Linked DNA regions of Saccharomyces cerevisiae S288C. Changing the gene in region 1 together with any one later gene gives a genetic interaction. Each region holds a gene or a part of one and is shown in the gene's direction. Other genes may lie near its edges.

The links. Genes that interact genetically often act in the same process or in processes that back each other up.
Region 2: mutations in TMS1 (region 1) and PYC2 together harm fitness more than expected from each alone (negative genetic interaction), as found in Saccharomyces cerevisiae (2 studies listed by BioGRID).

What each region holds. Positions count from the first base shown.
Region 1 is NC_001136.10:663,289-670,606, reverse strand, and holds TMS1 (Tms1p), read left to right. Parts: upstream 1-3,836; coding exon 3,837-5,258; downstream 5,259-7,318. Other genes in the region: TMN2 (Tmn2p), read left to right, coding at 1-1,591; ARP10 (Arp10p), read right to left, coding at 2,749-3,603; SPO71 (Spo71p), read left to right, coding at 5,697-7,318.
Region 2 is NC_001134.8:658,207-667,546, reverse strand, and holds PYC2 (pyruvate carboxylase 2), read left to right. Parts: upstream 1-5,297; coding exon 5,298-8,840; downstream 8,841-9,340. Other genes in the region: PCS60 (Pcs60p), read left to right, coding at 1-827; YBR221W-A (uncharacterized protein), read right to left, coding at 905-1,009; PDB1 (pyruvate dehydrogenase (acetyl-transferring) subunit E1 beta), read left to right, coding at 1,294-2,394; YBR220C (uncharacterized protein), read left to right, coding at 2,870-4,552; YBR219C (uncharacterized protein), read left to right, coding at 4,244-4,544, 4,966-5,048; ATG12 (Atg12p), read right to left, coding at 9,155-9,340. UniProt on the Saccharomyces cerevisiae protein: Pyruvate carboxylase catalyzes a 2-step reaction, involving the ATP-dependent carboxylation of the covalently attached biotin in the first step and the transfer of the carboxyl group to pyruvate in the second.

The sequences.
Region 1 (7,318 bases):
GCTCGTGGATGGATTGCCAGCAGCAAGAAAGGCTTATGATAGCAGAACAAAAACAAACTATTACGGCACAGGATTTGAGTTAGGTTTTACAGATGTTAAGCAAACCGTTGACGGTAAAGCAGTTCCCAGTACGATGGAAGAGCTTACTTCAGAGGCCTCAAATGAGGATGTTATATTGGATGCTCGACTGCCCAAGAATGTTAAGCCTAATTTAGTTAAAACGGTAGAATTACCTTACTTTGTAAATCATTTTGACATTGAAGTGGAATTTCACGATCGTGGAAACGATAATTACCGAGTTGTTGGTGTCATTGTAAACCCTGTATCTATCGAAAGATCGTCACCTGGCGCGTGTTCTACAACGGGAAAACCTCTGATACTAGACGAGGATAAGGATAACGAGGTTTACTTCACTTATTCTGTTAAATTTGTTGCCTCTGATACAGTGTGGGCTACGAGATGGGATAAGTATCTACATATTTATGACCCGCAGATACAATGGTTTTCATTAATAAATTTTTCCGTTATTGTTATTTTGTTGTCATCTGTTGTAATGCATTCTCTATTACGGGCTTTGAAAAGCGATCTCGCTCGTTATAACGAACTAAACTTGGATAATGAATTCCATGAAGATTCTGGCTGGAAATTGGGCCATGGTGACGTATTTAGAACCCCATCTAAGTCGATGCTGCTATCCATTCTTGTGGGATCCGGTATGCAGTTATTTTTGATGGTCATGTGTAGCATTTTTTTTGCCGCAGTAGGTCTTGTGTCGCCTGTTTCCAGAGGATCCCTGCCAACTGTAATGTTTGTTCTTTATGCATTATTTGGATTTGTAGGATCCTACGCCTCAATGGGTGTCTACAAATTTTTTCGTGGACCCTATTGGAAGGCGAATATGATATTAACGCCAATATTACTTCCTGGAGCAATTTTTTTACTGATTGTAATAATGAACTTCTTTTTGTTATTTGCACATTCTTCAGGTGTCATCCCAGCGAGAAGCCTATTCTTTATCATTCTTCTATGGTTTTTAGTTTCTGTTCCGTTGTCGTTTGCGGGTTCAATTGTTGCTCATAAGCAGTGTAATTGGGATGAGCATCCAACTAAAACAAACCAAATCGCCAGACAGATTCCATATCAACCCTGGTACTTGAGAACAGCACAAGCAACCTTAATCGCTGGAATTTTCAGTTTCGGATCAATAGCGGTTGAGCTGTACTTCATTTACTCCAGTTTATGGTTCAACAAAATTTTTTATATGTTTGGATTTTTACTCTTTTCATTCTTATTGTTGACCTTGACAACCTCATTAGTTACCATCTTGATCACATATTACTCGTTATGTCTAGAAAACTGGCTATGGCAATGGAGAAGTTTTATTATTGGTGGTTTAGGATGTTCAATCTATACGTTCATCCACTCCATACTATTTACTAAGTTCAAGCTTGGTGGAGTTATTACTGTCGTGCTCTATCTCGGATATTCACTTATTATATCTGCATTATGTTGTGTCGTCACTGGAGCGATTGGTTTTTTTAGTAGTATGTTTTTTATTAGGAAGATATACTCTGCCATTAAAGTTGAGTGATTTCGTTATTCTCTCCACTAAAGTAAAAGAAGTGAATACGTTAGTTTTATTTTTTTTTTTTTTTTTAATTTTTTGAGAAGTGTTTTACTTCGCAATGCATTTATATCCTATATGTCCTGGCAAACTTTTTGATAAATTGGAATGCAAGTTTTAACGCGTTTTTATGTAGCACTAATACACTGTATTGAAGATTTTTTTTTCTTTCACAATTTGGAAACGATTATATTGGATATATATTAGAAGTTTTCCTCGAGGATATAAGAAATCCGCAAAAGGGAATCAACAATTCTATATAACAACATTATTCTCTCTCCGTTTATATTTTATATTAAATTCATTATCTTATTAAATTATCAATTCTTGCACTTCAGCTTCCATTAAATCCGATAATTGTTATGAAGTCTTCTAACAACTCATTCGACATTAATAATAAAGAATATTATTCGATATATTTATTTATTTTTATTCCGGCAATAATAAATCTGAAAACGAGTTACTCTTTCAAATGACATGATAGTTATCAAATCCAAATTCTTTAGGAGAGTGTGTAATTAGGTGAAATATTAATGGTTAACTTTCTGTTGTATTACGGGCTCGAGTAATACCGGAGTGTCTTGACAATCCTAATATAAACAGTCTTAGGGAAGTAACCAGTTGTCAAAACAGTTTATCAGATTAATTCACGGAATGTTACTTATCTTATATATTATATAAAATATGAATCATACTAAGTGGTGGAAGCGCGGAATCTCGGATCTAAACTAATTGTTCAAGCATTTATACGTTTGGGTAGTTCAGCTAGGGAAGGCCGTGTTTTATCTCATGTTGTTCGTTTTGTTATAAGGTTGTTTCATATGTGTTTTATGAACGTTTAGGATGACGTATTGTCATACTGACATATCTCATTTTGAGATACAACACTTTCGATCCAAATTGGTCTCTTGGCCCAGTTGGTTAAGGCACCGTGCTAATAACGCGGGGATCAGCGGTTCGATCCCGCTAGAGACCATTTTTATTTTTTCTCCTCTATTGTTAAAAATAGCTCTTTACTATCATAAACTTTTACATCAAAAGCTCAATAAGGCTAATTGTTGTGGAAAGACGCAGTTTGGTGAAGAGAACACTTCCTGTTTTTGTTTTCTACATATACATAAAGCCTATTGTAAGCGCTTCACTCCAGTTCTGAAGTAATAATCAAACCAATCAGGAGCAATATGAGGATTGTTATAAAACTCATCTCTTTCTATTCCTACAATGTTGCTCCCCTTATAGTGCAGAAGTATTTTCGCGCATGCAGAACCAGCCTGCCAGTAATTTTTAGGAAACTGGATTTTGGACGTATCCATTTTTAACTTGAATAAATTCCTTATTACTGTTTCATACGCCTCTTCAATGTTTACTATAATGATATTTTCTCTCAGTGGCCTTCTCAAGTCGATAGGAAGTGACTCTACAATATTTTTGACAAGATTTATTACCGGGGTTTCATCTACTTCACAATTTTTAGAGTTGTATTCTTCGTCAAAAAATATTGGCATGTAGAGACTGCCCGGGAGAGGAATTCTTGACTCAACCTGTCTTTTGCCTCGTTTTGAGTATTTTATGAACTGTTGCAAAGGTCTAAGGTCGAAAATAGGTACGCATGTAGTATAATTGGTACCTATATCTATAACTATGGCATTCCTTGTATTACAGGATAAGCAGTGCACAATGGCCCTGGGGACAAACGAAACGTGAGCGCAGTCAAATTCCTTAAACAAGATGCTACAAATAATTCTTTTCTCTACTACAGAAATGAAGATATCTTCTAGTATCAACACTTGTACTTCTCGATTTCCCAAGATGTTGCAAATTTGGAAGTAATGTTCAAATATTTTTTTCAATTCTTCCCTATTTTTTTCATTAATACTACCTGTTTTCCAGGCGATAATTTCTTGTGGACACGCATCAGCACTTCTTCCAATTTCGATTCTGTTAGCTCCCAAATAGACTATCACAATAGTATTCGACATTTCCTCATAGGGTTTCCTGGGTAGATTTTTTTTATCATTTCACAGTGTCGAATATTGTAGTATTTGTACCTCTTTTGTTTATGTCTCTCGGCTACAATAGAAGTTCCGACAATTAGATTCTAACAAAAAAGAGAACTGTTTTTGAGGTCTTTATGCCCCCAAAACGAAGTTTATAATCAAACAACAGATTTACTTCATATCAAAATACCCATCACAAAGTACAACAATCTACCATGGGTGCCGTAATTTCTTTGCCAGTTAGCATGGCGGGCTCATTCGTGGCGTCCTGTTTTGGAGGTTGCTGCTCAAACTTGGTGACTAAGACTGCATCTTCCCTAGGATCTTCTTCTTTAGGGACAAGACTTCTGTACGCCGTTTGGCTTTTACTTAACTCATTGATATCATGGGTGTCCTATTCTGCGAACAAATCAATCCTATGGCCAGGGAAGACATGTACTGGGACTGGGGAATGTGGATTTTTTACAGTTCATAGGTTGAATTTTGCATTGGGATGCTTACATTTGATATTGGCGCTTGTACTAACGGGCGTAAAGTCGACTAATGACGTAAGAGCAGCATTACAGAATTCGTGGTGGAGTTTAAAATTTATACTGTATTTATGTCTCATTGTTTTGTCATTTGTCATCCCCAATGACTTTTATATTTTCTTTTCCAAGTGGGTGTCAGTCCCTAGTGGAGCAATTTTCATCCTGGTTGGGCTTATATTATTAGTAGACTTCGCTCATGAGTGGGCTGAAACGTGTATTAGTCACGTTGAGTCAGAAGATGAAGATTCCTCATTCTGGCAACGATTTTTGGTTTTAGGGACAACTTCAATGTATACCGCATCGATTATCATGACTGTTGTTATGTATGTTATGTTTTGTCATCAACAATGTAACATGAATCAAACAGCGGTAACAGTCAATTTAATATTAACTGTTATAACGCTTGTCTTATCGGTGAATCCTAAGATCCAAGAGGCCAACCCTAAAAGTGGGCTGGCCCAAAGTAGTATGGTTTCTGTTTACTGTACTTATTTGACAATGAGTGCCATGTCTTCCGAACCGGATGACAAAATGTGTAATCCGTTGGTTAGATCTAGTGGAACCCGTAAGTTTAGTATCATTTTGGGCTCTTTATTTACTTTTATTGCGATTGCTTACACCACAACTAGAGCCGCTGCTAATAGTGCTTTTCAAGGCACCAATACTAATGGTGCTATATATCTCGGGAATGATATCGAGTACGAAGGACTAGGTGGACAGACAAGAAATCAGTTGAGGTATGAAGCTATTAAACAAGCTGTAGAAGAAGGATCTTTACCGGAAAGTGCCTTATATGATACCGCTTGGTTAGGGACATCATCTCCTACAGGCGCAATGGATAACCAAAATGATGATGAAAGGACTGGAACCAAGTACAATTACACTCTGTTCCACGTTATATTCTTTCTGGCAACCCAGTGGATTGCAATTTTACTAACAATAAACGTTACCCAGGATGATGTAGGTGATTTTATACCCGTAGGAAGAACATATTTTTATTCTTGGGTAAAAATAGTTAGTGCATGGATATGTTATGCCCTTTACGGTTGGACAGTGGTAGCCCCAGCGATTATGCCCGATAGATTTGATTACGAGAATTACTATTAAATAGACTAACACAAAAAGATTTTCTTATAATGTATGTAACTTTTTTTTAAGTAGCCCCCAGTAGAAACACTAATTTTACTATACTCATGCACTAGTTTCAAGAAGATGAGTAAACCTCCCTCAAAAAAAAATGGATCTTAATTATCTAATTGAGATATCGCTTCTCGAGGATTATTTTAACTATCCTCTATTTATTTGAAATGCCAATTACAGTTATTATCGATCGACCGTTTTCGAAGGATCTCTTTTCTTCTTTTAAAGGTAGAAAACATTCTCTCAACCTTCTTTATGCGATATTCGGAGTTTGCGCCGTGCTTCAAAGATATGGTAAAACAAAATCATTGTGGCTAAAGAAATGTCTGGTGAAAATATCAATAACAAAAGTCAGCATACAGTGATTGTAAAAGAAAGGGATTTGTCTTCGAAACATTTCGAAATATGGATTCTATCGTTAATGTTGTTGAAGACGATGTTAAGTACGCGCAGAGAGTGACTAGCTTCAGCTCACCACAAAATGCAAATGTCAAGGTCTTCACCATTCCCCGGCATTCCTTCACAGCGTTTAGACTGTCGTATGTTTCACCTACAGAGCTTTCAGCATGTTCACAGGTGACTTTGCTAGGTGGTATTCCAAAACAATGGTACGCTGATCAAAATAATCAAGTCTGGAAACTTCTAACTAAAATTTCACTTCGGAAGGTTAGGAAGCAATCTGACATGCTAAGAAGATATGGCTATGGAACAATTTACAAAAAGCGTGTAGGGAAGATCCCAACTGCATTGTACTTAAGAAAGCACTTTACATGGTCCTATGAAGATAATACATCAATTCACAACGGTCATCGTCTTAAAGAAGCGGAAATGGAGATGAAGAGAACTAGGTCAAGTCCTGTGCAGAAAAGTGAATATAAATTAAGTCTACCCAGAAGGTGTAGGAGTTCTTCCGATCAAAACTTCATGCGACAAGAGCTTTTGAAAGAAAAAAAATCAGAGCTTTCTAGAAACAATAGTTTGCCTCTCATCGATACGGCGCAAGCCGTGGATATCCACCCAGTTTTACATGAAGAAGATCAAGAAAATACAAATAAAAGGAATAAATCACTCCTTTCGAATTTGAAACGAAAAGATCTAGGGGAATCAAAAAGCATATCCAGAAAAGATTATTCGCATTTTGATAGAATACCGAGCCCCTCTTCAGCCAGAAGTGTTGGAGAAACAGACTTTAATTATAATAGAGAACCTTCTGAAGATACTTTGAGATATCCCGACAGTATAATTGAAGTAACAAATCGGACAAGCCCCGCCCCAAATAGTATTCTAAGTAGATCAGGACAATTTGTTAACTCGAATGACCTAAGTGATGGCTTTTCAACATCTAATACTATCAATAACGTGGGATTAAATGCAAATGAAAAGATTTTTTTTAATGCTCTACAAAGTATGGAAAAGGAAAACTTGATGCTGTGGAAAACATCCCAGAAATATGGGACTTATCTCGATGAAAGACGTAAAAGTGCGGATGCCTTTCAAAAAAGAGAAAGAGGTTCATGCGTGGACATTGGTAAGTTGCATTCGAGTCATCTTCCGTTTATTAATATCCTACCTCCATGGCCTACCGAACTGACGGAGGAAGAGAGAATTATACACGATAGGCTAGCCTCTAAACATTCTCATCATATAAGAAAACATGTTCACAATGCTCGAAACAAAACTAGCTGCAAAATCAAAGATAGTGTTGGAACTTTCTTAGGTATGACAAATTCACTAACAAATAAAGCAACTGTCAAGAAACGCACCGGTCAGATCCTTAAAAAAGAAAAAATGCTAGTGATGGTAAAAGAAGCTATACAAAATAAAGTACCACTTCCCAACTTCTCTGAAAACGAGTGCTTTGATACAAGGGTCAGTGAACGGTGGAAAGAATATATTGTTATTGCAAGATCCACGGGAAGATTCGATCCCCCGATACTTTTACAGTTCTATCGTCATCGTCATATCCCAGAAATCGAAGATATCAGTTCCATAGCTACAAAGTATCACCGCAACCCGTTGGATTTTTT
Region 2 (9,340 bases), on another chromosome or scaffold:
TATTCTGGGACCAATTTGTTAAGTACAACTGTAATTGGTTCAGTTGCGTTCCCACAATAAGCATGATTATGCTGAACATGCCCAAACCAAACCCTTTCCCACACATTAGATTCATCAGATCGTGTTCTTCTGCTTTGGCTCCAGCAACGTTCCATAAGCTGGAGAAGGAATTCAATGCACCTGTCTTGGAGGCCTATGCGATGACCGAAGCATCACATCAAATGACCTCAAACAATCTGCCTCCAGGAAAGAGAAAGCCTGGTACTGTGGGCCAGCCACAAGGAGTCACCGTCGTCATTCTAGATGACAATGACAATGTCTTGCCCCCGGGCAAAGTCGGCGAAGTTTCCATCAGAGGCGAAAACGTCACTTTGGGGTATGCTAATAATCCAAAAGCTAACAAGGAGAACTTCACCAAGAGAGAGAACTATTTCAGAACCGGTGACCAAGGTTATTTCGACCCTGAGGGGTTTTTGGTCCTTACAGGCAGAATCAAAGAGCTTATCAACAGGGGTGGTGAAAAGATTTCACCCATTGAGCTCGACGGCATTATGCTATCGCATCCAAAGATCGATGAAGCCGTTGCATTTGGTGTTCCCGACGATATGTACGGCCAAGTAGTTCAAGCCGCCATTGTTTTGAAGAAGGGAGAAAAAATGACCTACGAAGAACTGGTGAACTTCTTAAAGAAGCACCTAGCCTCTTTCAAAATTCCAACCAAGGTGTACTTTGTTGATAAGCTACCAAAAACCGCTACAGGTAAAATCCAGAGAAGAGTTATCGCAGAAACTTTTGCTAAGAGCAGCAGAAATAAGAGTAAGTTGTAGGCAGTATCCTGTACAATTTTATGCTCTCTGAAAGCTTCTATCTGGCACCCGTTTATATACGCCAATACTTATGTATTTTATCTATCTAATGAAACCACAGTATTTATCATGCCTAAGCTGATTCTTTTTCGTCGCGGCTGTTTCCGGGGTCTGTTTTCCGAGACTTCGAAGTGGGAGAACATGCAAAAGAGACGAGTCTTCAACTAAGAAGTTCTCCGTCATTAAAAGTCATGCGTTTGCACGTTTGCAATAAAAAGAGGTGTATCTACATATACAGGTTAACGATTGCAACAGCGACTCTTGATATTATCTCTGTCAAGTTTCTTCCTTTTGTTAGACTAATTTAGTATCATTTACACACTCGGACGTTAAATTCCGCCTCCCTCATAACAGTTCCTGTGTTTGTTCATTGATAATCGATCGCAGTTTAGTAAGTTCTTTTACTTTTGCAATAATTTTGTTCAACATGTTTTCCAGACTGCCAACATCATTGGCCAGAAATGTTGCACGTCGTGCCCCAACTTCTTTTGTAAGACCCTCTGCAGCAGCAGCAGCATTGAGATTCTCATCAACAAAGACGATGACCGTCAGAGAGGCCTTGAATAGTGCCATGGCGGAAGAATTGGACCGTGATGATGATGTCTTCCTTATTGGTGAAGAAGTTGCACAATATAACGGGGCTTATAAGGTGTCAAAGGGTTTATTGGACAGGTTCGGTGAACGTCGTGTGGTTGACACACCTATTACCGAATACGGGTTCACAGGTTTGGCCGTTGGTGCCGCTTTGAAGGGTTTGAAGCCAATTGTAGAGTTTATGTCGTTCAATTTCTCTATGCAAGCTATCGATCATGTTGTCAATTCCGCTGCAAAGACTCACTACATGTCTGGTGGTACTCAAAAATGTCAAATGGTCTTCAGAGGTCCTAATGGTGCTGCAGTGGGTGTTGGTGCTCAACATTCACAGGACTTTTCTCCTTGGTACGGTTCCATTCCAGGGTTAAAGGTCCTTGTCCCTTATTCTGCTGAAGATGCTAGGGGTTTGTTAAAGGCCGCCATCAGAGATCCAAACCCTGTTGTATTTTTAGAGAACGAATTGTTGTACGGTGAATCTTTTGAAATCTCAGAAGAAGCTTTATCCCCTGAGTTCACCTTGCCATACAAGGCTAAGATCGAAAGAGAAGGTACCGATATTTCCATTGTTACGTACACAAGAAACGTTCAGTTTTCTTTGGAAGCCGCTGAAATTCTACAAAAGAAATATGGTGTCTCTGCAGAAGTTATCAACTTGCGTTCTATTAGACCTTTAGATACTGAAGCTATCATCAAAACTGTCAAGAAGACAAACCACTTGATTACTGTTGAATCCACTTTCCCATCATTTGGTGTTGGTGCTGAAATTGTCGCCCAAGTTATGGAGTCTGAAGCCTTTGATTACTTGGATGCTCCAATCCAAAGAGTTACTGGTGCCGATGTTCCAACACCTTACGCTAAAGAATTAGAAGATTTCGCTTTCCCTGATACTCCAACCATCGTTAAAGCTGTCAAAGAAGTCTTGTCAATTGAATAAATAAACTTCAATCCAATAGGAAGGAGAGAAAGAAGGAGATAGGGAACTTTTTTCCCTGTACCCTACACTTTCTACCCTCTTCGCGGAAATAGTACTAATGAGAAAAACATAAATAATATTTTGCTAATCAAGACATGTATGGCGTACTGGTTATTAGTAGATATATAACTGCAAATACACACATACATACAATGTATATATTTTGTTTTTACAAAATTGAATGAGATAAGTACTGTGCACATTGAATGAGTTCCTGTTTCATGGTTAGAATACGCACATATTTATTTTCTTTTTTTTCTTTTCGACGACAGGCTGAATGAAAGAAAGAAAATAAAGATACTCTGGCATGCGAAAATAAGTGAAAAATAAATCGGCTATAATGCGTAAGCTACTGTGGGAAGCAGAAGCAAGACCTAAACGTTTGGTGAGGCAGTATAATATACCATAGTTATAGGGGGATAAAACAAAAGTAGGCATGGAACCTAAGCGAAAGAGCGGGTCACTAGCCAAGCATGATTTGCCGCAATTTTATCTTTTAATTATGTTATATTTGGCTCAAGGCATACCTGTAGGATTGGCCTTCGGTACCGTACCGTTTCTACTGAAATCTTTAGCAAAGGAGACCTCGTTTACATCACTGGGAATTTTCTCTATGGCTACATATCCATATTCTTTAAAGATCATATGGTCACCAATAGTAGACTCACTGTACAACAAGCGCATCGGTAGAAGAAGATCATGGATCATTCCAGTACAATTTGTTAGTGGATTTGTGCTATGGGCATTAGGGTGGTGCATATCACAAGGCATAATCTTCGATGGTGTCGACGATGCGTTCCATAATCGCGGTAATGGCACTTTACACAGTGTCAGTATAAAAAATTTGACGTGGTGGTTTGGCCTGTTAGTTTTTCTGTGTGCCACTCAAGACATCGCAGTTGATGGTTGGGCGTTGACGATTTTGTCCAAAGAATCCCTATCATATGCATCTACCGCGCAAACAATAGGTTTGAATATTGGTTATTTTATGTCATTTACCATTTTCCTGTCGTTGAATTCCTCTGATTTCGCCAATAAGTATTTCAGAAACATCCCACTGGATCACGGGTTCATTAGTCTTGGTGGGTACATGAAATTCTCGGGCATGCTTTACATTGTAATAACCATATATATCATCTTTTGCACCAAGGAAAAACCCTACGTAGAGTATTTGCCCAAAGTGGAGCCCATAAATACAAGTGACGGAGGGTCAAAGCCGATAAGTATTGAGTATGACGACGGTGATGTGGTGTCAACTCAGAATACAAGCAGTATAAAGTACATTTACCGCTGCTTTATAAAAGTGTTGAAATTGAAGTCCGTAAGAAGCCTAGCCTTCATTCACATGATTTCGAAATTTGCCTTTCAATGCAACGAAGCCGCCACAAACCTGAAACTACTAGAGCAAGGCTTCAAAAGAGAAGACTTGGCTGTGACAGTACTCATAGACCTGCCGTTCGAAATCATATTTGGGTACTATGTTGTTAAATGGAGCTCCGACAAGGACCCCATGATTCGTGACAATAGAAGATTAAGAAACAGCACGGGCACCAACAAGGTCATCAAGTTCTTAGTTGGGGATGCCGGCGTTTTAACACCATGGTTGTGGGGCTTTTTGGGCCGTCTGGCAGCCGCGGTCTTGGGAAGTTACGTGGTGAAGCAATTCCCCAAGGATGGTGAAATATCCACGGGTTATTTTTGTCTCGTGATATTCCAGCACCTCTTAGGTTCCTTCATGAATACTGTCCAGTTCATTGGAATATCGGCCTTCCATACAAGAGTTGCAGACCCCGTGCTGGGTGGCACATATATGACATTGTTAAATACCCTCAGCAACTTCGGTGGGACATGGCCGCGGTTAATCATTATGTCCATGATCAACTACTTCACCGTGTATCAGTGCACTATTCCTGGCACAAATAAAGTATACGTAACTCACGGCGGCAGCATGCAAGCGTGCACCGAGCTTTTGAATGGCACCGTGACCATCCTGCGTGACGGCTATTACATCACCAATCTCATATGTATTGTAGTCGGACTTTTCCTATATTTTGGATATTTGAAAAGGAAAATCCTCCATTTACAAAGTCTGCCAATCAGTTCCTGGAGATGTACGTAACGACCCCTCAAACAAGAATTGTACGACATTACGTTCAAGAAAATTTTAACGAGTATCGTAATATTTACAAGATCTTTTTATGTACTACAGGAAGCAGAAACAAAATGAGTATCAATACCAGTGTAAATCTGTTAATGAGAATCATCACATTATCCCAGTTTTTTCCATGCAAGGGAAAAATATACTATACGACATTTCTATACTTTAATTATCAATTAAGGTCATCTTTCTGTACGAAAACTAACCACGATTGTCACTAACGACGTGTCCCTTACCCGACGCAGCTGCTGATAGCGTACCGCACAGGCACAGCCAGCTCTTCTGTGATTGGCAGAGAGGGGTCCTTCCTGCGGAAGACGCCGCAAAGGCACATATGACTAACCTTTTTTTTTTCGCAATTAATTTTCTAATAGTTTTTCATTTTTTTTTTACAATTTTGGCAGTTACGTCTCGAGCTATTTATTATAAGAGTCAGAATTGGCGCAGGGAGTGTTAAGTAAGAAGTACTCCCCATCGGATATTTCCTATTGTGTTTCTGTGATTTTTAGTCCTTTTTTCTTTTCTCTTACTTTCGGTATCCTTACTTGATTACATACATAAACAAGCCCCTCTTTTCTTCCAAACTCTTGTAGCTTACTATCTGTGGCCCGTCATTTGAGTTTGATTTTTTTGCCAATTACTATATTGCAAAATAAAGGACAGTTACTAGGAGAGAAAATAAGGGACATAGAGAACAAAATAAAATATGAGCAGTAGCAAGAAATTGGCCGGTCTTAGGGACAATTTCAGTTTGCTCGGCGAAAAGAATAAGATCTTGGTCGCCAATAGAGGTGAAATTCCGATTAGAATTTTTAGATCTGCTCATGAGCTGTCTATGAGAACCATCGCCATATACTCCCATGAGGACCGTCTTTCAATGCACAGGTTGAAGGCGGACGAAGCGTATGTTATCGGGGAGGAGGGCCAGTATACACCTGTGGGTGCTTACTTGGCAATGGACGAGATCATCGAAATTGCAAAGAAGCATAAGGTGGATTTCATCCATCCAGGTTATGGGTTCTTGTCTGAAAATTCGGAATTTGCCGACAAAGTAGTGAAGGCCGGTATCACTTGGATCGGCCCTCCAGCTGAAGTTATTGACTCTGTGGGTGACAAAGTCTCTGCCAGACACTTGGCAGCAAGAGCTAACGTTCCTACCGTTCCCGGTACTCCAGGACCTATCGAAACTGTGCAAGAGGCACTTGACTTCGTTAATGAATACGGCTACCCGGTGATCATTAAGGCCGCCTTTGGTGGTGGTGGTAGAGGTATGAGAGTCGTTAGAGAAGGTGACGACGTGGCAGATGCCTTTCAACGTGCTACCTCCGAAGCCCGTACTGCCTTCGGTAATGGTACCTGCTTTGTGGAAAGATTCTTGGACAAGCCAAAGCATATTGAAGTTCAATTGTTGGCTGATAACCACGGAAACGTGGTTCATCTTTTCGAAAGAGACTGTTCTGTGCAAAGAAGACACCAAAAAGTTGTCGAAGTCGCTCCAGCAAAGACTTTGCCCCGTGAAGTTCGTGACGCTATTTTGACAGATGCTGTTAAATTAGCTAAGGTATGTGGTTACAGAAACGCAGGTACCGCCGAATTCTTGGTTGACAACCAAAACAGACACTATTTCATTGAAATTAATCCAAGAATTCAAGTGGAGCATACCATCACTGAAGAAATCACCGGTATTGACATTGTTTCTGCCCAAATCCAGATTGCCGCAGGTGCCACTTTGACTCAACTAGGTCTATTACAGGATAAAATCACCACCCGTGGGTTTTCCATCCAATGTCGTATTACCACTGAAGATCCCTCTAAGAATTTCCAACCGGATACCGGTCGCCTGGAGGTCTATCGTTCTGCCGGTGGTAATGGTGTGAGATTGGACGGTGGTAACGCTTATGCAGGTGCTACTATCTCGCCTCACTACGACTCAATGCTGGTCAAATGTTCATGCTCTGGTTCTACTTATGAAATCGTCCGTAGGAAGATGATTCGTGCCCTGATCGAATTCAGAATCAGAGGTGTTAAGACCAACATTCCCTTCCTATTGACTCTTTTGACCAATCCAGTTTTTATTGAGGGTACATACTGGACGACTTTTATTGACGACACCCCACAACTGTTCCAAATGGTATCGTCACAAAACAGAGCGCAAAAACTGTTACACTATTTGGCAGACTTGGCAGTTAACGGTTCTTCTATTAAGGGTCAAATTGGCTTGCCAAAACTAAAATCAAATCCAAGTGTCCCCCATTTGCACGATGCTCAGGGCAATGTCATCAACGTTACAAAGTCTGCACCACCATCCGGATGGAGACAAGTGCTACTGGAAAAGGGACCATCTGAATTTGCCAAGCAAGTCAGACAGTTCAATGGTACTCTACTGATGGACACCACCTGGAGAGACGCTCATCAATCTCTACTTGCAACAAGAGTCAGAACCCACGATTTGGCTACAATCGCTCCAACAACCGCACATGCCCTTGCAGGTGCTTTCGCTTTAGAATGTTGGGGTGGTGCTACATTCGACGTTGCAATGAGATTCTTGCATGAGGATCCATGGGAACGTCTGAGAAAATTAAGATCTCTGGTGCCTAATATTCCATTCCAAATGTTATTACGTGGTGCCAACGGTGTGGCTTACTCTTCATTACCTGACAATGCTATTGACCATTTTGTCAAGCAAGCCAAGGATAATGGTGTTGATATATTTAGAGTTTTTGATGCCTTGAATGATTTAGAACAATTAAAAGTTGGTGTGAATGCTGTCAAGAAGGCCGGTGGTGTTGTCGAAGCTACTGTTTGTTACTCTGGTGACATGCTTCAGCCAGGTAAGAAATACAACTTAGACTACTACCTAGAAGTTGTTGAAAAAATAGTTCAAATGGGTACACATATCTTGGGTATTAAGGATATGGCAGGTACTATGAAACCGGCCGCTGCCAAATTATTAATTGGCTCCCTAAGAACCAGATATCCGGATTTACCAATTCATGTTCACAGTCATGACTCCGCAGGTACTGCTGTTGCGTCTATGACTGCATGTGCCCTAGCAGGTGCTGATGTTGTCGATGTAGCTATCAATTCAATGTCGGGCTTAACTTCCCAACCATCAATTAATGCACTGTTGGCTTCATTAGAAGGTAACATTGATACTGGGATTAACGTTGAGCATGTTCGTGAATTAGATGCATACTGGGCCGAAATGAGACTGTTGTATTCTTGTTTCGAGGCCGACTTGAAGGGACCAGATCCAGAAGTTTACCAACATGAAATCCCAGGTGGTCAATTGACTAACTTGTTATTCCAAGCTCAACAACTGGGTCTTGGTGAACAATGGGCTGAAACTAAAAGAGCTTACAGAGAAGCCAATTACCTACTGGGAGATATTGTTAAAGTTACCCCAACTTCTAAGGTTGTCGGTGATTTAGCTCAATTCATGGTTTCTAACAAACTGACTTCCGACGATATTAGACGTTTAGCTAATTCTTTGGACTTTCCTGACTCTGTTATGGACTTTTTTGAAGGTTTAATTGGTCAACCATACGGTGGGTTCCCAGAACCATTAAGATCTGATGTATTGAGAAACAAGAGAAGAAAGTTGACGTGCCGTCCAGGTTTAGAATTAGAACCATTTGATCTCGAAAAAATTAGAGAAGACTTGCAGAACAGATTCGGTGATATTGATGAATGCGATGTTGCTTCTTACAATATGTATCCAAGGGTCTATGAAGATTTCCAAAAGATCAGAGAAACATACGGTGATTTATCAGTTCTACCAACCAAAAATTTCCTAGCACCAGCAGAACCTGATGAAGAAATCGAAGTCACCATCGAACAAGGTAAGACTTTGATTATCAAATTGCAAGCTGTTGGTGACTTAAATAAGAAAACTGGGCAAAGAGAAGTGTATTTTGAATTGAACGGTGAATTAAGAAAGATCAGAGTTGCAGACAAGTCACAAAACATACAATCTGTTGCTAAACCAAAGGCTGATGTCCACGATACTCACCAAATCGGTGCACCAATGGCTGGTGTTATCATAGAAGTTAAAGTACATAAAGGGTCTTTGGTGAAAAAGGGCGAATCGATTGCTGTTTTGAGTGCCATGAAAATGGAAATGGTTGTCTCTTCACCAGCAGATGGTCAAGTTAAAGACGTTTTCATTAAGGATGGTGAAAGTGTTGACGCATCAGATTTGTTGGTTGTCCTAGAAGAAGAAACCCTACCCCCATCCCAAAAAAAGTAATTTTTACTCGTTAATTATATTTTATGACATCTGAAAATACTAGCTGTACTATATATGGCGTATATTTTATCTAGTTATGTTCCCATGTATATTTAAATGCCAAATAGAAAGTAATCAAACACTTTCGATGAAATACGTGCTAACTGTGTTTCTTCCTTAATGCTTTCACTTACCATGTCTCCATTCTCCATTTTCTTCTTGAGTGAAAATGTGAGTTTATAACGCTCAAGTACGTTAACTACTCTATTTAATATCGTACGGGATTTTTGATCGACTGTAGGTTTTCTTCTTAGACCATTCCAGCGCCCGGGTATTTAACCAAACGCTACGGATGCACAATAACTTACAATAAGCTCATCATTAGTCTTGAATTGCATCCAAAGTTCACCAATATTTTGCTGCGGACTTGGCGCAAACGAATTATTTATATAACAATAAACATGGTCCATTTTCAGCCGTCTCTTAAGAAATAAAATAACCATTGCAAAAGACTGTGACAT